3 linked regions of the Cricetulus griseus genome follow. The main gene of each other region encodes a partner of the protein of the gene in region 2 in a complex. Links are inferred from orthologs where the notes say so. Each region holds a gene or a part of one and is shown on either strand. Other genes may lie near its edges.

The links.
Region 1: the proteins of Rasa1 (region 2) and Arhgap35 are in contact, whole or in part, in a crystal structure (PDB 8DGQ), measured with the Homo sapiens proteins. The link is inferred for Cricetulus griseus from reciprocal best matches to the Homo sapiens genes RASA1 and ARHGAP35. Residues at the interface, in NP_002881.1 of Homo sapiens: Arg188, Arg207, Ser209, Arg211, Val217, Asn228, His229, Phe230, Arg231, Ile241, Gly242, Tyr256, Leu262, Leu263, Lys264, Lys358, Ser379, Asp380, Asn381, Ser387, Gln397, Arg398, Phe399, Lys400, Met411, Gly412, Gly413, Arg414, His425, Tyr426; in NP_004482.4 of Homo sapiens: Ser1085, Asp1086, Tyr1087, Ala1088, Glu1089, Pro1090, Met1091, Asp1092, Ala1093, Val1094, Val1095, Arg1098, Glu1100, Asn1103, Ile1104, Tyr1105, Ser1106, Val1107, Pro1108, His1109.
Region 3: the proteins of Rasa1 (region 2) and Hras are in contact, whole or in part, in a crystal structure (PDB 8BOS), measured with the Homo sapiens proteins. The link is inferred for Cricetulus griseus from reciprocal best matches to the Homo sapiens genes RASA1 and HRAS. Residues at the interface, in NP_002881.1 of Homo sapiens: Gly746, Arg749, Glu783, Thr785, Thr786, Arg789, Ala790, Thr791, Glu799, Lys803, Ser833, Arg894, Gly898, Phe901, Leu902, Arg903, Cys906, Pro907, Leu910, Asn911, Met914, Arg928, Ile931, Ala934, Lys935, Gln938, Asn939, Asn942, Val944, Ala948; in NP_001123914.1 of Homo sapiens: Gly12, Gly13, Ser17, Ile21, Gln25, Asp30, Glu31, Tyr32, Asp33, Pro34, Thr35, Ile36, Glu37, Asp38, Ser39, Tyr40, Arg41, Gln61, Glu62, Glu63, Tyr64, Ala66, Met67, Lys88, Lys117.

What each region holds. Positions count from the first base shown.
Region 1 is NC_048602.1:11,210,575-11,220,004, forward strand, and holds part of Arhgap35 (rho GTPase-activating protein 35), read right to left. Parts: intron 7,373-9,430; 5' UTR 7,179-7,372; coding exon 3,498-7,178; intron 1-3,497.
Region 2 is NC_048595.1:305,206,465-305,215,894, forward strand, and holds part of Rasa1 (ras GTPase-activating protein 1), read right to left. Parts: intron 9,077-9,430; coding exon 8,999-9,076; intron 7,650-8,998; coding exon 7,492-7,649; intron 7,149-7,491; coding exon 7,072-7,148; intron 5,999-7,071; coding exon 5,826-5,998; intron 5,401-5,825; coding exon 5,241-5,400; intron 4,770-5,240; coding exon 4,627-4,769; intron 3,499-4,626; coding exon 3,383-3,498; intron 2,406-3,382; coding exon 2,319-2,405; intron 696-2,318; coding exon 628-695; intron 1-627. UniProt on the Homo sapiens protein: Inhibitory regulator of the Ras-cyclic AMP pathway. Stimulates the GTPase of normal but not oncogenic Ras p21; this stimulation may be further increased in the presence of NCK1.
Region 3 is NC_048596.1:59,988,395-59,998,276, reverse strand, and holds Hras (GTPase HRas), read right to left. Parts: upstream 4,783-9,882; 5' UTR 4,708-4,782; coding exon 4,629-4,707; intron 3,758-4,628; coding exon 3,606-3,757; intron 3,419-3,605; coding exon 3,240-3,418; intron 3,107-3,239; coding exon 2,947-3,106; intron 2,853-2,946; coding exon of another isoform or gene 2,771-2,852; intron 2,287-2,770; coding exon 2,167-2,286; 3' UTR 2,161-2,166; exon of another isoform or gene 2,044-2,160; 3' UTR 1,745-2,043; downstream 1-1,744. Other genes in the region: Lrrc56 (leucine-rich repeat-containing protein 56), read left to right, coding at 7,847-8,023, 9,308-9,395. UniProt on the Homo sapiens protein: Involved in the activation of Ras protein signal transduction. Ras proteins bind GDP/GTP and possess intrinsic GTPase activity.

The sequences.
Region 1 (9,430 bases), on a different chromosome or scaffold from region 2:
ATTTCATTCAGTTGAGTGCGGAAGGCTCCCACTGAGGGTGGGCTGCTGAATGGTTCCGTTGGGAAAAGGACCCAAGAAGGAGCATTGGCTTTACAGTCTGTACTTTCATTAGAAGAGATGAAAGCATCCCTCTCTCTGACTCTAGTTCTACAGTAAGGTACTAATCTAGCAAATTAGCAAGGGCATTGAGTATTTTTTCTTTCTTTCTTTTTCCCCATCACATTGGTACCCAGAGCAGAGCTTCTCTTCATTAAGGTGGTTGCCGGGGCGAGCACAGAGCAAGCATCTGAATCGTTGTGGGTTAAACCTTGCACCGGGGAGGAAGTGGTGTGGTCAGGAGGCCCACAGCAGTCTCCTCCCTGGTACAGTGCCATGCTCCACTTGCTGCTAGGGCATGCCACCTTATGCCATACGCCACCTTCATCCCTCTTCTAGGTTCAGTTTCATGCTGAAAACAGCGCAAACTTCTGGCCCACAATACTCAACCCTCTAAGGACCATGTTCCCTTTTACAGATGGAACCAGAAGAGGGGCACCATGTGCTCACGGTCTAAATAAGAAAGCAGGGAATTGGGATGTGACCACAGGACTTCATTCCCAAGGCCTCGGCAGCTAATACTGACCAATACTCTATCTGAGCTATCCTAACGTGAGCTCTGCCCACAGCCCTTCCCTGGCAGACGAACGATCTCTTCACAGCCACTGAATGTCCTTTCTGGGTGCTATGGCCTGGGCTAGAAGGTGAGCAGCCCTTCCCCAGCAGCCTGGCCTTAAGGAGGATCTGAGTTGTTTTCTGTGACCAGCTGAAATCCAGAATGCTTCCCCATGCCCCACTTCAAATAAATGCTGTACTGCTTTGTCATGCCAATAAAAATCAAAGGACAAATCCCCCACGGAGGGTGGCTTGCACTCTCTGCCCTGATGGTATCTCACTCTTCCAGTAAAACAAGTGTCAGTCTGCATTCCCGATGGTAGCAGTCTGAACAGGAGGCTTGCTCTGTGGCAAAGGCTTTCATCTTCTCTGCAGGGATGACAAAGCAGCCCTGCTCATTCCAAAACACCACTCTCCAAGTCAGGAAAACACAATGCCAGCTTCTACCAATTCTTCCCTAAGGATAACTCCTAAAATGACTGCTGGCACGCCACAGTTTTTGGGCCAAAGGAATCATTTGTCTGATTTGGAGAGGCGTGGTCTGCATAACTCAGACAGGCTGGAAGCTCCTACGTCTTGCCTGCTGATCCAGTAGTTGGGGGGACGGGGACGGGGACGGGGGACAGTACATGTCTGGTGCCCAGCAGGGAGACAGCTCAAGACGCAGAGACTAGCTGCTTCTACTGAATAAAGCCTTTGCCACAGTGAGATCTAGAAATCATGTCTTATTTGGCAATTTTTAAATAATTATTTATTTTGATTGTTTTGAGAAAGGTTCCAGGCTGGCCTTAGGTTTGGTAGGATCCACCTGTCTACCTCTTGACTGCTGGGATTATAGACGTGCACCACCACCCTTGGTTTTGTTTGTTTGTTTCTTCAAGATAGGGTTTCTCTGTGTAACAGTCCTAGCTGTCCTGAGCTCACTCTGTAGACCCGACTGCCTCTGGCACACTTGATCTTATGTGGTGCTGGGATTGGAACCCAGTACTTCCCAAAGGCTTGGCACACTCTCTATCAACTGAGCTACATCCCTAGTCTGGCAATGTGTTTTCAAAGCATCATTTGCAGCATTGCAAATATTGCCAGAAGTCAGAAAAAGACTTTTAATTCAGTGTGCTATTACGGCACCTTCCTAATTCCCAGGTGTGCAAACACCCCCACGAATCAGAAGACTGTCAGCATTCACATAAGCTGCTCCAGCAACTGTTTTTACCAGGACTGGAGGTGGAAGAAAGCCAAAATGTTCCAAATGCTCAGATTCATTCTCATCAAACAGGAGAGCGTGGGGAAAACACAGGGAGGTCGGTGAGCTTCCTAAATAAGGACAATTTTCACTGGGTCTTCCCTCCATGTTCTGAAGAACAAAATGCAAGACAGACAAGCTGTGGGAAAACTAAATGGAAAGAATGTAGTGACCTGAGATAGGGGCACAGAACCCACACAACACAGCTCTGACCTCCTGACAGTGCACAGACAAGAAGGCATGGAAACCCTGGCCAGTAGTGACTGAGGAACACCCTATATGCCCAAGGGTCCAATGGCGTCATGTTCCTCCACCTCCCAGGGCCCTGGGCTACCACAGTGGCCTCTCTGCTACCTCTCAGTACTCCGTAGCACACTCCAGATACCTTTGATATGGAATTCATTTCTAGCAACTCCCCTCCAAGGTCCTTGTAAAGCCTCATGTGAGCGACTCATCTCTGCTGTTTCCTGGCAGGAAGCAGAGCGAGCACCATCCTGTCTATACTGCTGACCATAGGTTATTATATCCCTATCAGAATCTCAGCAAGCTGTCATTCTCAGAACAGTACTGCACCACTACAAACGGCGAGGGGAGGGGGAGTTGGGTGATACTTTCCCTGCCTCAGTGCCTAGACCTAAGAGGACAGGGCGCTGTCTCTAGCAATCTGCCTTGCAAACACCAAGCTGTAGTCTTCAGCAAGAAAATACATTTCCTCCCCTATTGACATGTAAAACACTACTATAAGGTCTTCCTTCCCTGTCTCTGTTATACCTGTGCTCCCTGAAGTACAGAGACTCACTAATGGAAGAAGTAACTGCAGACAGATGAAGAAAGGGACATGTGAAATCTCATTTTACAGCTGGGTGTTGGTGGCACACGCCTTTAATCCCAGCACTCGGGAGGCAGAGGCAGGAGGATCTCTGTGAATTCGAGACCAGCCTGGTCTCCAGAGCGAGTGCCAGGATAGGCTCCAAAGCTACACAGAGAAACCCTGTCTCGAAAAACCAAAAAAAAAAAAAAAAAAAAAAACCAAAACAACAACAACAAAAAATCTCATTTTACAAATATGGATAAACTCCATGCTGAGGCCCCCCCCCCTTTCTTTTTTGCCATTTCAGCACTTTCACAGATTTGTGTGTGCAGAGAACGATCCACTTCTCGCTGATGTAAAACGAAGCACCCTTTTGTGATTAGCATGGGATAGCAGCATTTGAGAACCATAAAGATGATGTATGTTCAGGCCAAGGGGTGCAAATCTACAATCTTTAAGAGAGGAAATAGTACCCGTGTCACTGGCTTGGCCACTTGTCAAGACACTGAAGAGCTCTACACTACCTGCTCATTTGGGTAATTACTGTTCTAGGCAAAGGCAAACCTAGGATACCTATCCAAGTGCTAACTACATGAGACCTACCAGTAGGGGATATCTAATGCACAGGCTGGCTCTTACCACAGAGCCAAAAAATAATTGCACTCTCGTGCTTACATGCGCTCACATCCAGTGTGTGTTTAAAACCATGTTGTCCCTGAATAGTTGTCATCAATCAAATCTCACCAAGACGCTGTGCAAATCCCTACTGACTCATCCTAAATGAGGTCTTACCTTGGTGTTCCTCCTTAGACTTCGAAGGATATTCCTCCTCCTGGGGTCCTCATCTGTTTCATATGGAATGACAGCATTGTCCCCTTTATAGCCCTGCGATGCCTGATCCTCCTCTTTCTTCCGGATGGGTCCCAGCTCATCATCACTCCCCACACTGAAGCTAGTGCGGTAACTAGCAAACCGCCCCAGCCGGGTGCATCTCGTCCTGTACAGCACAGGCTTACTCACGGCGGATACCTTGCGGCCTCGCTCTAGAGAGCTCGTGTCCATTTCACTGTCAGAACCATTGCCACTGCCATTGGACTGGGCTTTGTTGATGTTCCGGATGGTGATGATCTTGCCCTGGGTGCTGTCATGGGGCACAGAATAGATGTTTTCTTCCTCATTCCTTGGCTTGACCACGGCATCCATTGGCTCTGCGTAGTCAGAAGGATCAAACCCGTCCTGAGGCAGCCAGGGGCTAGAAGACACAGACTTCCTCTGTCCCTCCCGATGGCCTTGGTCTAAGTAGGACAGATCTTTTGTGATCTCAAAATGGACAGGAGGCTTTGGTTTGACTGGTGGAGGTACTTTGTTGTTCAATTTACTCTCAAAGTTGCTCATTATGAAAGACAGCCCGTCATTTCCCTCCAGCTCCATAGAGAACTTGGAATGGTCTTTGGACAGGGAGGGCACTGTCGCATCTTCCCGAAACAGGTGGTATGATGGAGGCTCCACGTCTTCTTCTGAGTCCTGCAAGTTTGAGTTGCAGAGTGGTGACCCAGCCCTGGGGGAGTTGAACACTTCTTCAGTGGTGCTGCAGGCCTCAGCAACATTGTCGTACATGTGCGTGGCCTCGATTATGTTCTTTTTCTCCACCACGTCTTTAAAAAAGGGGTGAAAGATCTCAAGTTTATGCTGGGGTTGGCTACAAGGGATGCCTGTGAACCTGCCATCAATTTCTTGTGCAATTTCCTCCCCCTCTGTCAGCTGCTCTCGACTTAAGTCATTGTCCAGGACATCTATAGCGCCATCAGTGAGTGCAACAAGCTGGATGGGAATAATATCCTGCACTTCACAAAGAAAGGCACGTAACATTGCCAAGGAGGCCTTACGCTTGGCTGAATAAAAAACAATGTACCCATGAACCAAGCGGCTCTTTCGGATGCTGAACGAGGAATGGTACGAAAGAACAGACAGCTCAATGCGCTTCTTGTGTAGTCCAATCGGAAGTTCAAGTAAAACAGAGTTGCTGCTCCCACAGTGGGAAGATTTACAGGTTTGGGACTGCAGGACAGGAGAGAGTATGTCATCTGCACTAAAGGGATCACCACACATCAGACACATGACAATTCGAAGGTCCACATCAGCCAAGTCCTTGATACTAGCAGTGGAGCTGACCAGGTTTAAGTTGCGCTTAGAATCCAGGAGTCCCTTCAGAACTTGACTGATCTGCTTCTCGTTAATGTTGCGTCCGTAACCAATGCCAGCAGAAGCAGGGTCCAGAAAGACACACTGCAGTTTGCTAGCAATCTGCTGGCCTTGTTGTATTAAGCTGTGCAGAGTCTCTCCACTTGTGTCCCCTCTCTTGTTAACTAGAATTAAGGTCAAGGGGAGGTGAACTAAGTGATTATCCCGCCTGCCTAGCGTGGACTCTCTGCTCTTCTCTATACTCTCCACCACGTAGGACAGTGACTCCTTTGAATTGTAAAGGCAGAGGCAGCCATGGGGTTGGAAGGTTGGTGTCTGGAAAGAGTTCACAGGAAGCCTGACATTCCCCTCTATTGGCCTCAGGGACAGCTCATACATTTTACCGTCTATCACATATTTGTCATCATTTGTACAAAGAGCTCTAATTTCATTGGCTAACTCTCGGGCAAGGCCATCTTTGCCTAAGATAACCAAATTGATCCTATCAATACTGGGGTCAGACAGAGAGTTTTTCTGATTCCTATCGGATGGTCTGATGAAGCGACAACTAATCAGGTGCTCTATCTTAGCATCCACACAAGCTGGGCAGCTGGGGCATGTCTCCTTCGTGGGGTGGTACACAAAATGAATGTGCTTCAGAATGAGGGCATCACGCTCTGCTTGGAGCTTCTGCAATGCCTTAAATCGCTGCTCTTCCCCCAAAACATCCTGGATGACACCCATCTTTTCCTTGCTGGGTTTGGCATCCAGCTCCAGCTCATAAAACAATTCTGAGTACTCCAAAAGCAACTCCTGGAACTCTTCCTTTGCTCGGTCTATAATCTGCTTCTGGTGCTTGCCGTAGATGTCCATGTACACAGACTCCTCCAGCCACTGGTAAAAGTCTTCATTCATAATAAAACTACGAGCCTCTTCCCAAGGTTTCCCGGGAGTTATGAAAGGAGAGGTCTCCAGGTTTTCTTTGAATGCCTTTCGCATCTCAGCTCTCTTCCTCTCATTCCTCAGCTTCTCCAAGTGGGTCTCATACAGCTGCTCGGCAGGGACAGTATCCATCAAGTCAAAGGGAATCCGCTCATTTTCCATGTTGTCAATGTGGCTGGTGGCGTCCCATGGGGTCTCTTCAAGCACAACAAACCACTTTAAGAACTCAGGCTTGGTCTCTAAGAGCTTTTTGGCTTTAATGCAGCTCAGGTGGTCTACTTCATCTAGGTTAGGGATGAGGGCTTCAAAAGCCAACGGCAGGGCTGCCAGGTATAGCTTTCTGCGGCGCTCAATATGCTCATGCTTGAGGCGGTGGATGTGCTGCAGGAAGAGCTTCTTGGCCTTTTGTGTCCCTTCCAGGTAGACGTAGTCCTGGTACTCAGGGGAGGCCTGCATCTTTCGGCTGACATTCAGCCAGTTCTCATTGTGGTTTTTCACAATGCGGCTCACCAACCACTCATACTTGTCCTTTGCTGTAGCTATTTGCTGACTCTGTTGCTTGAGAGCTTCAAAGTAAGGAATGATTTTTGTCTTCCCTCGACTCTTATCAATGAGTTGCACTAAAGTACTGAAAGCCAAGTCCACATTCACATTGGATCTTGCCGAGGTCTCTACAACCTGGAGGTTCTTTTTGCTTAAGGCAAAAGTATGTGCATCTCTAATGTACCGCTCAACACCCTCGTCACACTTAGTCAGGACCACCACTATGGGCTTTTTTGTTTTTGCAAGCTGATTGTAGAGATTAGAAACAAACTTGAGCTGGTCATCGAAGTTCCTGTTCATGCCCCTGCTAACATCGATGCCCAGAAGGAAACCGTCGACCAGCAGCTTTCCATCGGGCATCTGCTTCTGCTCAAAGTCCTGCTCCAGCCCCAGCTGGTCAGTGCAAAAATACATGAGTTTTTCAGCTGATGCGAGCTTGGTGGCCGCAGCTCTCTTGATGTAGGGCTGCAGGGCCGTGCTTCGATGAGGTTGAAAAGTCTGATCATCAATGAACTCAGTCTGCTCCACAATGTGCATCTTACATTCCACACAGTCCTCCAGGGAGCGGCTAACTTCTCCCCAGTAGAGAAAGTGGTCATTATTGACCACCCGCCCACCAAAGTCACTAGTGCTGAGGACAGAAGTGTGGTCCAGGTGAAAATCATCGGCACTTGGGCGCACGAAGCGGTTACACAGACAAGACTTCCCAATGCCGCACTGGCCTTTCTCCTTCTCAGTCCCGGACAATCCCACCACGCTGATGTTGTAGGTGGGGATTCGAACATCTTGCTTTCTTGCCATCATCATCTTCGAAACATCCTGCCACAATCAGCTACTTCCGAGATCAGATTAGTGTTCTGCAGTAGAGTTGAGAGGGCTTCTCAGCAGTGCCAATGGAGGCCGGCTGCCCAAGCAGCACAAGTGTCAGGTCCCATAGTGTTGTAAACCAGTATGATGTCAGTTCTTGCTACTTCTCATCGCCAAATAGCCAACATGTCTGCCTAGATGGAGGCGGGAAAGAAAAATCATCAGTATCCAAACTCTATTTTAACCACCGAATTACAATAAAAGGATTTTTAATCCAACAAATACTTAGTAAACCTAGTGTGCCAGGCCTTATGCTGAGTGAAATGATTAAGGCTGACATCAGAGTTGTTGAGACTGTTCAGAGGGTACAGCAGGTGTTTGCTGTGGAAGCCTGACAACTCACGTTCAATTCCTGAATCCCAACAAGAAAGGAAAAAACCAATTCCCCAAAGTTGTCCTCTGAGGCCCACACACATGCTGTTATGGCACATGTATGCCTGTACAGGACGGGGCGCACACACATACCATGTACAATGATAATGACAATAACCAAAAGGCTAATATCTATGTGCTTTCCAACAGGTATAGTCTACTGCAAGACAGGAAGACATAAATAAGGAGACTGTAAAATGCTAAGGTGGCAAGTGAGGGCTCTGGAGGAAATGTGGCTAACTCCAAGGCAGGGTGGATATAAGAAATGTCTTTTGTGGTTTTGTTTTTGAGGCAGTTTTTTTGATATAGTTCTTGCTGTCTTGGACTTGAGCTCGAATCCACTTGTCTCTGTCCCGAAAGCGCTGGGATTAAAGGCGTGTGCCACCCACCATGCCTGGCTGAGCCAGAAATGTGATGTACAAATAAAAATAAAAATAATGGGACATTTCACAAGGACAATGGTGTTATCTTAAAGGGGATCCCACAAGTAAGGTCTAGAATAATCTGTGAACCAAAAAAATTGTAATGGATTACAGCTCGCTGCAAAAAATATGAACTAAAGCCCATACAATTGGATCGGATGAGAGTCATGATGGAAGGTTAAATGCAGGGAAATCTTGAGGAGCAGGATGTTGACAGATAACTCAAGTGCCCTAAGACTGCCTATTAATTATCAGGAAGAGAAAAGCCCTCAATAGTAATTATAGTGGAGAAGGCAGACAACACCTTTACTCGGCAACCAAAATTCACATTATCAGTGTGGTATGGAAGCCCTCAGGAGACTGAGGCAGGGAATGCCAAGTAGTTCAGGAGTAGCCTTGGCTACAGAAAGGAAGGGGGAAGACAGACGAGGAGGAGGAAGGAATGAATAAAGCTTTCTGGATGGCTCACAATATTGCTTTCAAAATTCACTTCAAAGCCTCAACAATCAAAACAGTCCCGCAGTGACATAAAGACATAGACCAATGGAAAAGAAACAGAAATCTCACAGCTAAATCATATATGTCACTGAATGACTTTGTGTGTGTGTGTGTGTGTGTGTGTGTGTGTGTGGTTTGAGACAGGGTCTTAGTCTTACTTATGTAGCCCTGGAGCTCACTATGTAAACCAGGCTGGCTTCAAACTCATAGAGATCCCACATGTCTGGCTGGCTAGATGACTTCACAAGGCTGTTGGGACCAGTCATCGGGAAAATGACACTGATTTATTTATTTATTTATTTATTTATTTATTTATTTATTTTTTTTCCGTGCATTGGTGTGAAGGTGTCAGATCGCCTGGAACAGAAGCTATAGAGAATTGTGAGCTGCCATGTGGGTGCTAGGAATGGAACCTGGGTCCTCTGAAAGAGCAGCCAGTGCTCTTAACCACTGAGCTATCTCTCCAGCCCAAAAGGACAGACTTTTTAACAGCTGGTGCTGGGCAAAGTGGGCCTTCACACAGGAAAGGACAGAGGCAGGTCTTTATCTACATCATATACAGAGGCTAACCCTAGAGCTGGGGATGTGACTCAGATATAAGAGTTCTTATCTAGCACACGATAGGCACTAAATTCAATTCAACAACAACAACAAAAACTAACTCTAGCAGTGTGTGGTGGTTCACATTTTTAGTCCCTTAGGAGGCAGGCAAACCTGTGAATCCAAGGTCAGCTTGGTTCACATAGCGAGTTTCAGAGTATCCAATACTACAAAATAAGAACCTGTCTCAAAAAATAAAACAAAAGAACAATCAACCAACCATACAGCAACTTTAAATGGATCAAAAACCTAAAACGACAAAATGTAGAAGAAAACCTAGTGCAAAAGAACCCCATGAGC
Region 2 (9,430 bases):
AGTAGTCTAGGCTTGCCTTGACTGTTCTTTGTGCCTTAGCCTCCTAAGTTCTGTGACTACATAATACATTCCCAGCTCAAATCATTTTTAATACAGCTTTGAGCTTCAAATTATTAGTATAAAAATGATCGTTTCCTTCCATTAATATTGATTGGCTCATTATGATATTATAATTTTCTTAAGTTTACAAATCTGAAAACTTCCATAATGGACAGGAGGACTTCCTAACCTGCAAACACTGGGAGTGCAAGAGCCAGCAAGGTATCTCAGTGCTACCAAGCCTGGTGGCCTGATTTGAATGCTAGCCACTCACACAGTGAAAAGACAATCATCTCCCAGAAGTTGTTCTCTGACCCCTGTATACGTATCATGACAAGCAAATGCCTGTACGCATACACTTATGTGCTTAAAAAATATAATGCAAACTTTTTAAATAAAAGTCACAAGGCCAGAAAAAAAAATCTAACATCTTTGATATTAAAAGAATAAAAAAGCAGGGAATAGTGCTTTAGTGCCCTTTATTTGTGTCTTAGTTTTTTAAATTCTGACTTAAAGTGCAAGTATTTTTTTTTTTTAATAACAGTACTGAAGCTTTTCCCATTCCAAAGTGTACTAAAAGGTAATTACCTGAAATGATATTAAACATCCGAGGACTCAGGATAGCAGGGCAGATAAGCCGAAGAAAAACAAAACCACTAATTGAAAGGGAAAATTGTTTTAGAAAACTATGTTTAAAATGCAAACATATAAAAATTAAACTTAGAACCATGTTTATTTTCAACTTGAGGAAGCCAGATAAAGTCATTAAGAAAGCTGTTAAGGCAACCATAATTTCAAATTTCCTTTGGAAGTAACCTTGCACTTACTCTCTTAGCTGCTTATTGAAGATTAGTAATTTGGATTTTTTGTTGTTGTTGTTGTTGTTAGAGGAATCAGTATATTAAAACACTGAGAACAGCTACAAGATTATGAGGATTTGAATACACATTTTACATATCAGTAACAGTTCTATAAGGTTCCAAATTACCTACTTTCTTGCTTGTCTTTCAAAGTTTATTTAATGAATTAAGATAGTTGTATCAATATTGCTGACAAGTTATAAATATTGGAATACACTGTAACAATTAATGAGTCCTTGACAAATTACAATGCACACAACAAACACTTGAAAGTTCTATCATTAATGTAAGCTCATAAGGATATCCTCCTCTGCCTTTTTCAGTCAGTAGTATTAAGTATATGTTGTTAATAATTAACCTTGACAAGCATTAGTCCTCACAGTTTATAAAATTCCTTCTATAATTACTTACAGAAATTAATAACTTAACCTTTTTTATATTTCTTCTTAAAGAAGTCTCCTAGATAAGGTTTACTTAAAGTATTTTAATACTTAAGGTTTACTTAAAGTATTTTAATACTTAACTAGAAATCTGAACTGGCAATTAATGAACCATTAAATAGTGAGAAAATATTTCTCAACTTTAAGGTGATTTTAAATTAAATTACATGACTGCTACACAATTTAAAACTAAGGAAGAGAAATTGACTTTAGGTATGAATAACTTTTAAAGCACCTTGTCACATTAAATCCAATTAGCAGATTCCCTGTTGTATTAGTTTAACAGAACAGTTTAAATGTCCATCACACAACAGCTTAAATAGCATGTTTTAATTTTTCTTTCTTCCTACAGTTCTTCAGTGTGTCTTAGTGTAGAGTTTTATTTAGGGTAGAATCAAATCCAGGCCCTCTTAGTGTTAACCTAGTGCCTTATCTCAGGGCTATGCCCTTAAGCCACTAATAGAAATTCTGTCTGCAAGAAAAGTAGAAGCCTGCTAACAAAATTGACATTATAAATGTAAAAACACATGTGAAGTGACTGGTAATATGTACTTTCCAAAATTACTAGAAAACTGTATTTGATACATTTCTACTAAATTTCTAGTCACTTTGTAGTGGCTGAGATATGTTTAACAAAATCCTTGAACAACAATCATATTGGGTGGTCTTAGGAGTTTTGCTTTGGTTCTTCTGTTTGGTTCCTAACTTAACTAAATTTGCTTAAGTCCATATATGAGCTCTCAAATTTCATTAGCTGCCAAAGCAGTTTCTAATGTGATAAACAGACTAGATGAGAGCTTCAGAACTAGACGGTATGATTGGAGATTAGCCTGGTATTAAAGATGTTAAAAGACAATTAAAACCTAGATGGTTCAACTACTGCACTTTTCCAAGCACTAATTCCTCTATCTCTGCCTACATACACAAATCAGTGTGTGCTGCATACAATGACTATGACAAATGAAAGAGTGACTCTTACCTAACAACTCTTGTTCTCATGGTGTTATTTGTAGGCCACTTACGCTGAACAGATTTCTGTAAACACCCATAAATATATCTCAGTGTCCTGCCAAAATAACATAAACATCTCAATACAGAAAGTAAATATCATAATGATAATCTACTGGCAACCAAAATTTTAATCTACCCAACCAGTATACCATATGTAATCTACCCAACCAGTATACCATTTGACCTGTTCATCTCAAAAAGGTATTTTGCCAAAACTAACGAGAGGGACATTTAGTAAGAGGTGTAGAAACATAATACAGTAAGTTTGGCTCCATTGATTTTAATTTCTGTGTTAATGAAAAGTATAAAACAAGTTATTAGACATGAAATACAGAGGAATTAATGTGGCACGTGTTCTATTATTTTGACTTCTTCCATCTAAACAAGTGAGTTTATTCATACTGACTTGTAAGCAGACATGACACTGGTATCTTGTGTACCTATTTGACTTTGTTTTTTGTTTCCTGGGTATCTAATGTTAGGCAAGACTAGAAACTAGATTTACAGATATTGTCCTCAGATCTGACTCATTATTCTTTCACTCCCTAAGCTACAATATAAGCCAAACTTACTCAGTCCATATAAAAATAGTTTAATTTGTAAATGTATATGTTTTTATTTTCCGGTTTTGGAGACAGGAGCTGGCCTACACTCCAATACTGGGAATATAGGCAGGTACTACATTATCTCTATTTTACTCAGGCTGCTTTAGCAGTTATTTCACTTGTTTACTCTTTTTTCCTTAAACATAATTCATCTTTTTTTTTTGGGGGGGGGGTTCACACGGTTTCTCTGTGTAACCCTGGCTGTCTTGGAACTTACTATGTAGACCAGGCTAGTCTCAAACTCAGAAATTTGCCTACTCTTGCCTCCCAAGTGCTGGGATTAAAGGCACGCACCACTCGCACAAAGTTCATAATCCATCGTTTAAGTATTAAAAACCTGATTATATCAAAGAAAGCATTCATTAAAAGAAAACTTAGAAAACACACATTAGTCAGGTTTTTTTTTGCAAACAATTTGACAACTTACGGTGGGAGTATTTCTGAAGCCATGAATATTTTCTCCACAAGCTCTGAAAGTATGTTCAATAGGTGTGCTAAATTAGTGTTCACATCTTCATTCTTTTCTAACTTTGATGGACTTAACTGCAGGAAGGAACAAACCAATACAAATTCATTTTGGTGATGATAGCTTCAGATAAATTGTGGTAAACAAGCAGTTATTTTTTTCCAAGCTGTCAACTGTTCCACACTCAAATTCAATAGGTTTGCTTAACACCCATTCCCAGTTAATCTACTCAGTTCTACTTATCTCAGGGAAAATAAAACAAAACTTTTTAATGAGGTTCAAAGTAGGGGCTAAGGAAAATAGTCAAAATGTTTAAGTAGGATGGTGAACCTTTCTCAGAACTTTTCAAGTTCACCCCACCCCCAATCTATGTGTTCCGATCTGCCAGAGGTAACTACAAATCTGAAGGACTTTCATCAGCTTTTGTCAATTTTCATAGTAAGTAATAATGGGATTACCTATTGACAGCTCCAATTGTTAACAAAAGTTATTTCCTTATTTTACTAACACTGTATCCAGCAAGCCTAAACATGTAAACTACCTTCCTTTGTAATTGCTCTGTAGCATCCATGAAATAGAATAGTTATGTAAGCATGATTTATGACTGTATGGTTGCATATAAACTCACACTGAAACTTAATCATCTTCAAAAGATTATTTCATTTTCTTTTAATCCTGATCTTCTACAAAACTACCCATAGAGCCCTCTAAGGAAAAGATGTTACATTTTACAAGGCAAGCATCCTTAGGTGTGACATGGGTGTCAACATGGCACTACAAATGGGAAATTCCACATCTGACTTCACATGATGAGCCAAAATCATAACACAAGCCTCCTAGAACTCATGTAAAATGAACTTCAGTCACAAATGTATTTCATGCTTAGACTTATGTTTCATCTTAAAGATACCTTATTGTGTATACTATCGTCCCAAAATAGCTTTTTTAATACAACATGTACAACAAAGGCCCTAGAAAAATGTTCAGTTTGTTTACCTTTTCTTAAATAAGGTACACTTGATCAATAATAGTAGAAATTAGGAGAAATGCCAAAAGAGCTGTGGGGTGGGGGGGTTATAAATCTATTATAGAGGGCATAACTACATTCACAAATTCTAGAAATGTACTTTCTTGGAACTATAATTTGTTAAAAGTTCTCATTAAAATGTGTTATTGCTGCAAAGATTAAAACAACAAATTCTTACCTCACATGACTGTTTGCTTTCCATTATCTTTAAAATGGAGTCTTTCAAAGCATGGTGAACAAATTGTGTGGCAGTGGCTTTCATATACTGCTCCATCAAGGTACTAGCAAGTGTTGTAGCTCGAAATAGGGTAGTGGCTTCATCTACACAAAAAATGGATGTCAGATTACATTAACAGAACTGTACTGTTGGAAATTATTTTTCTTCAGTAATGTACTTTTTACATAAATATCGATGAGGAGAAATAAATACATTAGGAAGCTGTGAAAAGCAGTGATAATGTACCTTAGCCTCGGACTGCTATAAGTCTAGAAATAAAATAGGGGTGATATTTCATAGACTGCTAAGTAAAAACTGAGGTAATATGATAAATCCTATGATAATCACACATTGAGTCTGGTTAAAGAAATCATTTTCTTACAGCTTCTAGTATTTAATCTGCCATGAGAGAATTAGAAATAGCAACCCATTCCCATAATAAACAAAGAATCTCAGATACTAATTTGTAAAATGATTTAGCAAGTTTAATACACTTAAAGACAGAGCCCACGTTTGGTACATAAAAATCAAACATTTTTATATTTTTAAGAATATCACACACATCCATATATTACCTTCCATACTTATCTCTCTGTCATTTAGTGTGCATAACAACAACGATTCAAGCTTTTCATGAAGAAAAATCTTCAGTAGGATGCTGGCTAGTAGTGTTCGGTCTTGTCCACATACATGTGATAAAGCATAGACTACATGAAGTTCCTTTTGTAGTATAAGCTAAAAATGACATCAAAAAAGATTGCTGAAAGTATGTAGCATTATGTATCATTGGACACCAATGGGATGATGAAAGAATACCATCTACTGAATGCAATAGTTAATAATGGAGTAAGTTTGTAGCCTATATATTTCTAGCCTTATAGGATCAAAATCACACTACATGTTTTTTTTACCTCTGGCTACTAGCATGCTACTAATCTAGGACGCTACTATTTAGCTTTATGGATTCTTATTAAATAGTTAACATTTGTGTTGGTGGTGCACGCCTTTAATCCCAGAACTTGGGAGGCAGAGGCAGGCGGATCTCTGTAAGAGGCCAGCCTGGTCTACAGAGTAAGTTCCAGGACAACCTCCAAAGCAACAACAGAGAAACCCTGTCTCGAAAACAAGCAAAAAAATAACATTTATATTTAATGTAATACCTCTTTAAATTCACTGTACTCTTCTTCTGGCATGATTTTTTCCATAGAGTATCGTGCTCGAACACGCAGGGATCCTGGTTCAATGCCCTTTAGTGGTATATGGGAGCTGAGAAGAAACCATTCATCTGTGGCATGTCCTTTTTGTAACCTGCTCAACTGGCAACGCATAAATACTACAAAAGAAAAACCACTATGTTCATACAATTACATTTTCTCAATACAGTTTTCTATGGTGTTAAAAGCTTTTCATTAACCAAGTTTCAATAACATCACAAAACACTTAACTGGTTTGGTTATTTTTTTCATTTACTAGACCTGCTACATTACATTCTGTCATAGGCTGGGGATCTGGAGTTAAGAAATGATTAAGACATGGTGTCTGACGTGCATGGAGAATGTCTTAAGCTGTCAAAGAGGATGCAGTGTAAGTGCTACAACCCTGGATAATACAAAGATACATTAAAAATCAATTCCAAAAAAGGAACCTGTGAATTGATTAGGTAGGTAGGTAAAAAAGGTAGAGCAATAAAGACCACAATCCAAATAGAAAGTATGGCTTTCTTTCTGTTCTAAAAAACTGGGATTTTTATCATACAAGTATTGGAAAAACACTTAAAAATATAAGCAATTACAGAATAAACATTTTTTTCAGAGAGCTTCAGGTTTTGATTTGTCAGTACATATCACTGCTTACCCCAAAAGCCTCAGTTGTAAGAAGGCATTAACCTAATTCACCATGATAAAAATCACTAAATCCCACTGCCATCTGTCCTACCAACAGGACAAGAAGTGTGCTTCTCAGAATAGGAACAGAGTATTGGATATTACAACAGAAAAAAAATAGCACAGCTAAACATCCTATCTTTTTAATTTGCAGGGCTGGGGATTAGTCTCCAGGCCACTACATACCAGACAAATACTCTACCATGGAGCTACATCTCTAGTCTGAATGGAACCTTTAATATTTGAAGTGTAGGAAATTAGGGGAAGATAAAAAAGGAAAGAGAACGAAAAATGATCACCACTACCAGTTTCTTCTCCTATTCTTTGGGAGAAGGGAAAGTAGATTTGTATATTTCAAATTATAAGGTTTATAGTACATATACTTTAATAGTCTCCTCTGAACAGTCAATAGTAGACTGCACAGCATGTTTTTCATCTCCATCTTAAGACATTTCATTTATAAATTCTAAAAATACACACAACATGCTTTCATTACTTTAGAAAGCTTTTTTAATCAACTTACAGATATCTGGATCTTTGCTTTTCTTTGTTTTATTACTGAGTGTGATTTCAAATCTATTGATATCAGGAGGAAGATCACTAAAGAAAGAAGGAAAAAAATTAGTTAAAAATTTAGTGTGTTACATTTAATACCAGCTTTATATAACCAGTTAGACAAGAATACTTGATAACTACATTTCCCCAGTAATCTTAAACTTCTTAAGCCACTAATAACCAATTAAAACAAGATCTAGAAAATATAGAACACATTTTGTCAATACTTTTCAGTAATCCAAAGGCATTTTATTAATAAAGATGAGCAAACCCAACAAAAAATACTATTAAAACACCTGACAAACAGGATCTTAGGTAATTTATATGTAAACAGCAGGAGGAAATATGACTCTAAAAAATAGATTGAATATGATAAAATATGACTTACTCAAAGACAAACTCCTCTGACCATACTGGGTTTTGCCCCTCCCTTGCATGAGTTTTTGCTACTTGGACGCTATTCAAGTAGATGTTACAATATGGATTAGTAAAGTGTTTTACTGGGAGTTTGTGGGCTTCTTCAATATGTAAAACAAGGCTGCTGACCTAAAGAGAACACAGAAATTCATAACCAACCTTTCAAGACCTGTATATAAACAAAAATAGTGATTTGTTTCTTAGTATTTCAAAAAACAAACTTTGCTAATCACCTGTCACCATCCATTTCAAAACTCCAAATATCAATGTATGCTTATGAAGATTTTACTACTCTAAAGGAGTACAGGCTAAGATGTTCTTAAGACACTGATTTTATGATCTGTTGCTACAGAAAAGACACATTCTGAGAAACTAATGTATTACCAGTATAGGTGCTAGAACTATCCATCTACTTCCTACTTCCAACAAACAAGTCAGTATCTGATCCTTGCTTTTCTTTCATGTAAAATGTAGAAGACTACATGCTGTGTAAAGGATTGGCAACCATCCTTAAACCCACTGCAGATTAACGGACGTATCAAAGAGGCTCAAGATGTGTTATATGTGTACAAAGATATGTGACAACTTCTATTTATTAAATGTGTGTGTATTACATGTCCTTGCAACAAAGACCAGAATTTATGTTACGGATAGTATGTAGTTACCTAAGAACGACTGTTTTTACACTTCCAGTTAAATACAACAAGCTTACTGAAATATCCATTAATAGGGGTCATTTTGCTCCATAAATATACAATGTCTTAACTTTCTTCAAAATTCGAACCATATTAGAGCTCAACTACATCCAATTATCTAGGGATAATTTTAATGCAACAAAAGATGTGATGGCCAATAAATAAGGGATAAGTCAGTTGTGGTGGTTCACACTTGTTATCCTAGCATTCAGGACACTGGTGCAGGAGGATTACTGAAAGTCTGAACTCAGCCTAGGCTACAGACAACTCCTATCTCTAACAATAAAAACGATTTTAAAAATGTCATAATGCAGTATATATATACATAAAGCAACCTAGATTAACTTCCTATTAACAAAAGTATACACAAGGTTTAGATTTTAATAAGATTGGCTAGTTCCTAAAAATTGTGTATTCAGTCTCAAAAATAAACAGGATACTCCTGTGAATTTGATTAACTCTTCAGAAGTACATTTCATTCTACCTATTTTTCCAAGCAAGAACTCAATACACAAAATAAGTTTCTTTTACTGCTTTTGAATTGTAAGCAGAAAAACAATCTATTTTTTTTCAAGTTGGCACAGTAGACTAGGAAGCAGAGTACAAATATAAAGAACTCTTTCACAAAGCAATCTACTATCAAGTCAAGCAAGGGTATAAAATGCTTGAAAGACTAAGTTTTTCTAGTTTTAAGAAACGTTGACAAAACAGCATGTATAGAAAAAAAGAGCAAAGTGATATGAAAATAAGACTGTTTACAAGTTAGACATGATGAAATTTCACCTGACGAAGGCGTTTATTAGATGTCCCCGGACTACTTTTTCGTAAACTGCAAAATGCTTGCAGACCTTTCATCCAGTCCTACAAAAAAAAAAAAAAAAAAAAAAAAAGTATTGCAAAGAAACATACATGAGTTTATCCAATTATCAATTTATTTTTTATTTAATTATTTCCATCCCTAGACTGCCATTTCTACTCTCAGAATATACTACACTGTAATTATCTATTTCAGCAAAATGAAACAACATAAAATTAAAATGGTGGTTTTCTTATTCTAATACTTAAGTCAAGGGGCCTATTTAGGGTCACCTGGTGCATATCCAGAGGTGACAGATGATGCTCTATTGCCAACAAAGCCACTTTCATTCACTTTTAATCCCATCTGTTTCTCATAGACTCTCCTCAGAAAAATAGTCATATTTGTACAAAATATAG
Region 3 (9,882 bases), on a different chromosome or scaffold from region 2:
GAGTCTTGGTAAGCCCCTTATCACCCCAGGGTCACACCTGGAGGATGAGGTTGTGGTCATGACCATGGCACAAAAACACCCTTCAAGGTACATGGAAGTCACTTCTCAGGTATCCAATACAGACCTTGACTAGGTGTGGGCCACACTCAAAACAACCATTTGTCTACCTCTCCAGGCCTGAGTGAGCCAACCACAAAGAGTGGGCCAGACCAGATGTTGTCAGCTGAGCAGGGGGCAAGGCATTGTCCCAAGCCCTAAGCCCAGCCCCCATACCACAGTTAAGAGTTGAGGGTGCTTTCCTGGCAGGATCTCTCTTTAGTTGTAGTCTTATGTAGAAAACAAGACCAGAGTTAGAAACAGAAAGGTACAGTAGCCTTAGCAAGATGGACCTGGGCACAGGCAGGACATGGACAATAACCTTTTTCCAGGGTCCAGCCCAAAGTCGAACTTCATACCTTTGAATAACCTCCGAAGTCTCTCTCTAGCACATGCTGCTTCAGGCTGAACCACACAATGCTAAAGTACCTTCAGGCCTCCATTGTGGAGTTTTGAAGGACAGAATGTGACATTCTTCCCATATTAGCTCCAGTTTGAGGTCCCTTCCCAGGACAGGCATGTCTAGGCCCCATGAGCTCTGCCCCTGATTCCATCATACTGCTTCCAGCAGGAACACTAAGCTCCTGTCCACCCTTACAATCATAGCCCAGAATGTCCAACCTACTAAAAACCCCCAAACAGGGCCAAAGACAACCACTGGCATAGCAGGCCTTGTCCTCAACCCACCTGCATGGCCAACATGGCTCCAAAGGAGCCACTGAAGCCCCAGATGATACCTCAGGAGCCTCAAATACACATGGACAGGGAAGCTGAACATTTGGCTCTTGTGGAAGAGGGCAAGCATGGTGTCCCACTGCCTAACCACTCAGCAGCAGCCCCTATATTTTGCCTAGAGGAGCTTCCTTATATTGCAAGTGTCCTCCAAAAGAGGAGTTCACCCATTTCCACTTGAGAGAGTAAAGTGCACACACCAAGGGACCCAGCAGGCAGGATGAGGACCAGGATAAGGAGATGGGCCCTCCTGTAGCCATGACCAGTGCTAGAATGAGGCCCTGGGCATGGCACACCCTTTGGGAGCAGTGAGCAGCTACCTGACCGGCATGTGTCTCTCAAGACCATACAGGTGACTTGGAGAACATCTGTACACACTGGAGAGGTGGTAGGAACTGGTAAGGCAGCTTCTACCCTCTCAGGGAGTTGAGATTGCTAGGCTTTAGGCACTGATGGGACAGAAGTCTGAGGCCACACAGAAAACACTGAGGTCCTATTTTCAGAGTCCTAGAATCTCTATCACTGGTCAGGGGGCTGCAGGATACTGGGGCGGGGCAGGTCTTACACTCTGCAATCCTTGGGGCTATACTTCATGGATCCCAGAATGCAGGAAATGTGTTTCCTGCTGGAGACAAGAGATGCCCCCTTACTCTTAAGCCCTCCTCCTCCCATTAGTTAAAGGACAATAGGTCACTCTTTAGATCACCTGATTATTCTTGTGTTGCATATAGCTTTCTGCAGGAAACACAAGACAGCTGGGGCAGGCAGAAGGGAAGGACCATACAGTCCAGGGTCCCAGGCTAGCCACCCCATCCTCTTCTCAGAAACAGGAAGAAGGCAGATGATGAATCTCAGGTTCCCAGTATCTTCTGTGAGGCCACAGGCACTACACCTCCTGCTCCCAGCCAGAGACAAGTCAAGACCATCAAATAATTTACTGTAATTCAACCTGTGCCCCATAGGCACCCGAAGGGAACTGAGAGGGGTTGAGGACTGGGGTGCCAGTGGCAATAGGGACAGTTCATGACACAGTCTGTTCCAATTGTCCATGCGAAGGTCTTGGTCACCTCTGTCCACCATCCCTGGACTGGACTGGCTCCAGCATCGCTTCCTTCCTTCCTTCCCTTCTCTTTCCTTCCTTCCGTCTGCACCTCCTCCCTGCATCCGGCACCTCCACGTCCTGAGCCTGTGCCGGGACGGGCACAAAGGACACCACTGACCTCAGGCAGGGAGATTGGCAGGATGGGGGGGAGCAGGGACATCAGAGTGGATATGAAGTTCATCTGGCTAGCTGGGGCCACTGCCCCAGATGTCTGCTGGTCCCTGCCTCACCTGGTGTCAGGATAGCACACACTTGCAGCTCATGCAGCCAGGGCCACTCTCATCGGGTGGGTTCAGCTTCCGTAGTTTATGCTGCCGAATCTCACGTACTAGTGTGTAGAAGGCATCCTCCACACCCTGGGAACAGAGGGACTGGATCAGAGGGGACTCCAAGGAGGAAAGGGGTGCTGTTTGGGTAAGAAACTCCCTGCCTGGATCAGGTAACACCCCAACCCTGGAAAACAACCCTTCCTCGGCTGCACAACCAACACAAATAGGGAGCTGGGCTCTGCACATCTAAAAGGCACAGGACCACTCTCCTTAAGTAGGCTCACTCTGGAATATCCTTCAGAGCAACTCGACTCAGAACTCTCCCAGACCCCCAGTATGGCTCAGGTCTGAACACCCTGCCCATACTTAGGGCTCAAAACTAACAGGTACTCATAGGACACTATGAGGACAAGAAGGACTAGGCTCCTGGGTCACCGCTCCGGCCTGGCTCAGGGCAGCTCTCTCCATGGACCCCCTCCTGCCCTGGCGCTGTGTCAACCCAGAACTGCAGGGCATAAGCCCAGACCCTGGCCCTTGCCTCCCTCACAGCCCTGCCGTCTGGGAGACTTACAGCATGGGGGCCGCTGGGTCACATGGGTCCCGGGGGGGTCCCAGAGGGTCCCGGAGCTGGAGCCAGAGCCAGAGCGGCTGCCCTGTGTTGAGGGAGAGGGGCGATGAGCTCTGCTCCCTGGCTGGGGTGGGGTGGGGTGAATCCCTGACTAGCTATGGAGTGGGGAGCAAGCTCACCTGCCGGGTCTTGGCTGATGTTTCAATGTAGGGGATGCCATAGCTGCGGGCAAGGTCCTGGGCCTGCCGAGACTCAACAGTTCGAGCAGCCAGGTCACATTTGTTCCCCACCAGCACCATTGGCACATCGTCTGAGTCTTTCACCCGCTTGATCTGCTCCCTGGAAGGGGATGGGGAGTATGTGAGCCAGCTAGCAGGTTACAGGCATGGCTGTACCCAGGACACTCAGAAGACATAAACCCTCAGTGTGCACATGGAACCTTCCTCACCTGTGCTAGCCATAGGTGGCTCACCTGTACTGATGGATGTCTTCAAAGGACTTGGTGTTGTTGATGGCAAACACACAGAGGAAGCCCTCCCCTGTGCGCATGTACTGGTCCCTCATGGCACTATACTCCTCTTGACCTGCTGTGTCTAAGATGTCCAGCAGACATGTCTCCCCATCAATGACCACCTGTTTCCGGTAGGAGTCCTGTAAAAAAAACAGAGCTTAGGCGTTCCACCTCTCCTCAGAGAATCCACAGAGCCCACCCACCCTTGCACCTCTCATGTTCTGATAGATTAGGTGGCAGCAGACCCATACCACCTGCAAGACCTAGCTATGTGGGCCTTCCTGACTCTTCCATGACCACTGCCAGAGCCAGGTAGCCAGAGCTCACCTCTATGGTGGGGTCATACTCGTCCACAAAATGGTTCTGGATCAGCTGGATGGTCAGGGCACTCTTTCCCACGCCTCCAGCGCCCACCACCACGAGCTTGTATTCTGTCATCGCTTCTATAGAGGCTGCCACTCCAGGAGCTCCTGCCCCACCTGCCAATGAGAGCCACACTTATCCAGGCCCGGGCCACTTGAGACTGCTAGTAGATGCCTGACCCAAAGGCCCTAACCAGCATTGAGCAGGCAGGCCAGCCACCACAGTGGCCCAGTCACTCACCTGTGGCACCTCCAGCTGGGACAGGGAGGCCCCCCACCTCCTCCACCAGCACTTAATGGCTGTGTGAGGAAGCAGGGAGAGGCCCCCAAGGCAGGGCTGACAGCTGAGAGCTTCTCCCAACCACGCACCCAAATTAGAAGTCGCTAGGTAGGCAGAAAGCCTCAACGGGAGGTGCCTGAGGGCTGAGGCCACCCCCCAAAAACAGGTCCTGCCACGGCGGACTCAGCGTGCCCAGGCAGGCCAGTGCCAGCCTACAACCGGCTCCGGCCCGCCGGCATGTGGGTGCAACCGACAAGTATTTACTGAGCGCCTACTGCATGCCAGGCGCGGTCCGGGCAGCGGGGGAAGGGTGGCTGGAGAGGGACCCTGCCCTCCGCTGAGACAGACCTTCCACAAGAGGCCAGGGAGCCTTCAGCAAGCAGGGGTGGAAAAGCGGCTGAGGGTGTGGGAAGCAGGTGACTGCGGGAAAGACTCACAAGGGGCGCGAGGGGTGACTGGGGAACAGAAGGCCCTGATTGGGGCCTGAAGCGGGTGTCCTTGTAGCCCCGAGGCCGGAGCGTGATGGCCGCGGGGCGCAGAGTCTCCGGAGGCCCGGGCGGCGCCTCGCCGGGAGGGCGGCTACAGGCGGGGCGGGCCGGGCCGGGCCGCAGAGGCGGGCAGCCGGGCGCTAGGCACGCTGCCGGGGTGAGAGGAGAGGGGAAGCACCGATCACCTGCGCCCCGCGCCCCACCCCACGCCCGCACTCACCGCTTGCTGGAGTGACTGCCCCCGGGGCCGGGGCCGGGGCAGGGTGGGGGCGCGGACCGGCGCTGGCTGGGCCGCGCATGAGCTCCGTCCGCGGCGGGTGCGGCTCGGGCTGCGGGCGCCGGGCGCGGACGGCGGGGACTCGGCCGGGCCCGCGCTCGCCCCGCCCCGCTCCGCCCCGTCCGTCAACTCTAGACAGTCGGTGATTGGTCGAGCTCCGCCTCACCGCGACCTGTTGTGGTTGGCTGAGCGACCCATCCGTCAGGAGCCGCAGCTAGGCGGGGCTTCCTGGAGTAGCAGAGAGAGCGCTGTCGCGACCTGGGTACTGCACTCAAATGAGTGACGCCTAGTTCCGAGGTGCGGAAGAGAATGAGGGAACCCGAGATTCCTCCGGAGAGAAACTGGGGTACGCTCGGGTTGGGTCGCGGGGCCTGCCACAGAGCCCACACTCTGCAGCCGCTCCAGAGGCCCAAAGGCCCTGGGAGCGGAAAGGTCATTCCGACCGGGACCTGGCGTCGGGGACAGTCAGCACCGCGGACGCGGGATACCAGAGGAAGGCAGAACCCGCCGGAACCCCAAGCTGCCTGTTCTCGGAGGCCGAGGTGTAGCGAAGGCCCCATCCCGAGGCAGCATCGGCCCATCACACCGCGCTCCTTGTGCTTTGGAGAAGACCCTCCCTTACCTCCCCCAAAACTCGAGGTCCCAACCCTGCAGCAGCTCATACTGTGCCCCATTTGAAGAACGACCCCGGAAGTCAGAAAAGTTGGTATTAGGGCGAAATGAAATGTTCCATCCACTCATGCAAGTAGGGTACATCTGTGTCAGACGCAAATGACATGTTTGCAACTTTTTGAAAATTTCAAAGAAACGAGTAAGAACGTCCTCCTTAGAAAACCGACAGGGCTTTCTCAGGTGATGCAGGCCTGGGGACGCGCGCTCACGTGTATCCCGGGGTGAGAGCTAGGCTCGGCCGATGCGGCCAGCAGTCAGATAACCCAGAGCGGGACAGAAACCTCTCACGGGCAACTCTCCGAACCTCTGTGGGCGTCTTCTCATCCGTCTCGCTTGCCTGCCACTCAGGGGAACCCTGCCACCGGATCTGCCGCGTGTCCCGGCAACCGTTGCTAGGGGGCGGGGCTCATCCTGCCGCAGCCCCGGATGCCCGCGGCTCACGAATATTTGGGTATTCAAATGAGGCCCCGCCCCCGTTGCCATGGCGCCAGGGCCGCAACCCCACCGCGGAGGAAAAAATAAAAAAAACCCTCACTTGAGAGAGCGACCGCCTTGGTGGAGGGGTCCAGGGCTGGGCCCCTGGTCTCGGGCATCCTGGCCCACCCCTCAGGTGAGAGCTGCCTCTTCATGTCCCTTGTGCTAGGGGAAACCTGGAGTGGGGCCTACATCTTTTGGGGCAAGACACACTGGACTGAGTAAGCAATAAACCATGAAGTGCAGTGGAAAGAGGTAACTCTTACTACAAAAATGTATCTGGGAAAGACAGGTAAGAAGTGCAGGAGTTAGAGGTCGGCCAAACCTGGATGGAGGTCAGGGACGACGGGATGGTGACCAAGAAGAATGTTCTGGGCAGAGTTCTCACTACAGCCCAAAGACTGTTGAGTTCAAGGTCTGAAGCCAAACACAGACCTCTGTATCTTTAAGGAGAAACAGTAGGTGAGCCTGTTGCCAGAGGTATAGAGGCACCTGAAAAAACTCCTCCAGAGGTATGGGGAGGAGCTCAGGAGAGGCGGGCCTACAGAAGATTCAGAACCACACACCCCTTTAGGAGTTGAAGAAGCAGCAGAGTTTGGATGAGGACCGTGTCTTAGTTTGCATTGGGTGACCCAGAAGGACCCTTGACTGTCGTTGTCATCATCTAAACCTTATCCCCCATTAAAATGGTTACAAGGGATTCAGGACCAGGCCCCCAGCTAATAGCACTCCATTCCTGTACCTACTTGCTTCTGAGCTGACATTGGCCAGCTCAGTCCAGGTCTACAGACCAAGCACAGTGACATAGCCAGGAAGCTAATCTAACTCTCTCTTACAGGTATTACATGTAGACACATGTGGCCCCCTTGCCCGGATGTTTGACCTACAGCAGGAGCCAGCTACCTGCAGGTGGGACCTCAATCAGAGAAGGGGGTGTTGGAGGGAATGTCTGCTATCTTAAGCCTGAACCTAGATTTAAGAGACCATTAATGAAGAAAGATCTAGAGCCAGGGTCTGGGGCAGCCTGGGGAACTGTCAGTTACAGGTGGGTGGCTGCTGGTCGATACAGACATCTTGCCCAGTGTCCCTAGTCTTACAGCCTTAAAAAAAAATATTCTTTATCATGTGTGTGAGTGTATGTGTGTACCACAGAGTACAAGAGCCCTCAGAGGCCAGAAGAGGGCAGCTGATCCATCCCTTGGTTACAGGCATTTGTGAGCTACCCAGTATGGATGCTAGGAATCAAACACAGGACCTCTGCAAAAGCAGCCATATGCTGTTAACCATGGAGCTATCTTTCCAGCCCCAATACACAGCTTTTATGAGGCCCAAGATGGCAAAGCCTGGAGCCAGTACTCATTGCATGGACACTGTGGAAAACAAATACAGAAACAAATAAAGGAATAGGGAGATAGCTCAGACAGTAAATTGCTTGCCTTGTAAGCATGAAGACCTGAGTTTGATCCCCAGAACTCACATATAGGATGTCAGGCATGGTAGTGTGAGATTGTAATCACAGCACTGGGGAGACAGACAGGTAGGTGCTTGGGACTTGCTGGCACGCCAGTTTAGCCTATTTGGTGAGCCACAGTCCAGTGAGAGACCTTATCTCAAAAAAAAAAAAAAAAAAAAAAAAGGAGGAGGGCATCTGAGGAATGGCACCCAAAGTTGTCCTCTGGCCTCCACATATACACATATGCACACACACTAACAATTAACATATACACACACAAATTATAAAATGGATAAGTACATCTCTTTTTTTTTCCAAACTACAGAAGCAAAGGGAGAGAAGTTGTTAGCATAAGCAGGAAGTTTCAGCTGAAAGTAGGGAAGTGGACAGGTGCTGTCCAGTTATCTAGACCACTGAGGTTGCCCAGGGCCCCTCAGGCCAGGCCAAGTCAGGCTGGGATGTGGGGAGATTGACCTAGCAGCTTTGTGGGCCATTGATGTGAACTAGAGCCTTGTAAACTAGGAGATTTGGCCCTCTGCCTCTCCTAACAGGTTGGATGTAGATGGACCCAGCCTGGGATGGATCCCAGGGGCCTCGGCCAGGCACAGCTAGCATCCGGGTACGGGAGCTGAGCTGGCAGGGCCTAAACAACCCCTGCCCACAAAACAAGAGACTGGGCAGCCATGGGGATATCCACAGGGAGCGGCGGGTGAAGGAGCACCTTTCCCCTGCTCGGCTGGTAAGTGATTGGGCCTGAGGCTCCGCCATGGGTCTGCATGAGGTGACATACTGGCACCCTTTCTGCTGATATCCAGCTTTCCCTCCGCTAGGTACCCCCTACCTTTCCACCATTGGGGTCCCTGCCAGCAACCCAAGTGACACAAGCATCCCCAGGCATTGAGATCACAGATGGCACTGTTGGGCCAGGGTTCTGTAACTATTGGCTGAGGCCTGTGCTCAAGCAGACAAGAAGTCTCTTACTCAAGAGCTGATGTTGCAGCAGGGAAGACTAGGAGGTGGCATATTGGGATGCTGGAAGGGAAGCTGATGATGGTGATGGCGTATGGCTCCCCACTCAAGGCTAGAGTTCTTCAGTCTCCTCTCAACCTGCCTGAGGTAGGATCTGTCCTTTGTATGCTGACTATATTGGCAGCAGGTAAAGACTTTCCTCCAAACCCAGTGTGAGAGCCTGTTGGTATACCCCATCCCTGAGTCCTAAGGATTTGGAGAGTCCATCTTGGCAACCCTGAAGCTCCCAGGACTTAGAGTTTGCCACCCATTCATGGTTTGCCACTATGAAGGTGAGAATCTTGATAGATGGTATCACCCAGGATCTCCTCAGAATAACTATTTAGCCTGCTAGTCCAGAACCTTCATATGTTTCCCAAAGTGTCCCCTGATGCCATAGCAGTTGTGACCCAGGGTCCTAAGAGACCATACTTGCATTTCGTATACAAGAAGGTCTTGTCTAAGCTGGGTGGTAGTTGCACATGCCTTTAATACCAGCACTCGGGAGGCAGAGGCAGGTGGATCTCTGTGAGTTTGAGGCCAGCCTAGTCTACAGAACAAGTTCCAGAACATCCAAGGCTATCCAGTGAAATCCTGTCTCAAAAAAAAAAGGTGTGGGGGCAGCGGGCTTGTGTATCCCATCTACAAGAAGAGATAGACCAGTCAGGCCCCCACCCCTTGACTTCCAGCTCGAGTTTTTTGTGTGTCCTGTAGTCCAGATATGCTATGGCTGGGTGCTGCTCAGCAGGGCTCTGGGCTCCAACTGCATTGTTGGATCTGTTCTGAAGGTCTCATATGGAGACTGGCCCCTCAAGTGTAGGCCCTTCCCTGGCAGCACTCCTTCCCCGATAGTCAGTTACAACCTCTGCTCATGTCATGCCCACCAGCCACTTATTGCAAGCCCAACCTGGATGAGGCAGGGGAACATTTGCCACCTGCTCCAGTAGGCACCTTTACAGAGTCCTCAGCCAAAAGCATGGAGAAAACTGGGAGTGACACCTGATGATTTCTGCAGCAGGCCCTGACCCAGGTAGATGACCTCCAACTGGTGAGGGTGCTGGAGATGTGTGTGGACACGCGTAAGAACAGCCTGGGGAACTTCGGTGAGAGCCACTGATCACACCCATGCCCCTGTGACTGTCACAACTTGACCTGCCCATGAGCCAATTATATTTCCTTGTTGTAAATGAAAGGCTAACAAACACCTTGGACAGCATGTCCCTTTCCTTAAGATTGGACTGTAGAACTAAGATGTATAGTCAGCTTAGAAATATGTTTTAGTCCAGGGTATATATTCCAAAGTGACTTTTCAGGGACCACACCCAAACACCAGTTCCAGTATGGCAAAATCGAGGGTACTATGCTCCCACGAAAGGTGCTCCCAGAGCTTATTTGGAAAGGATTTGGAATTTATAGACACATTGCACAGATGTTATATTGATGTCTCATGTACTCTTCCTCCAGAATCCCCTCTGAAATTGCCAGAGATCCTACTATTCTCTCTCACGTCTACACACACACACACACACACACACACACACACACACACACACTTTTTTTATTAAAGATTTTATTATGTATACAACATTC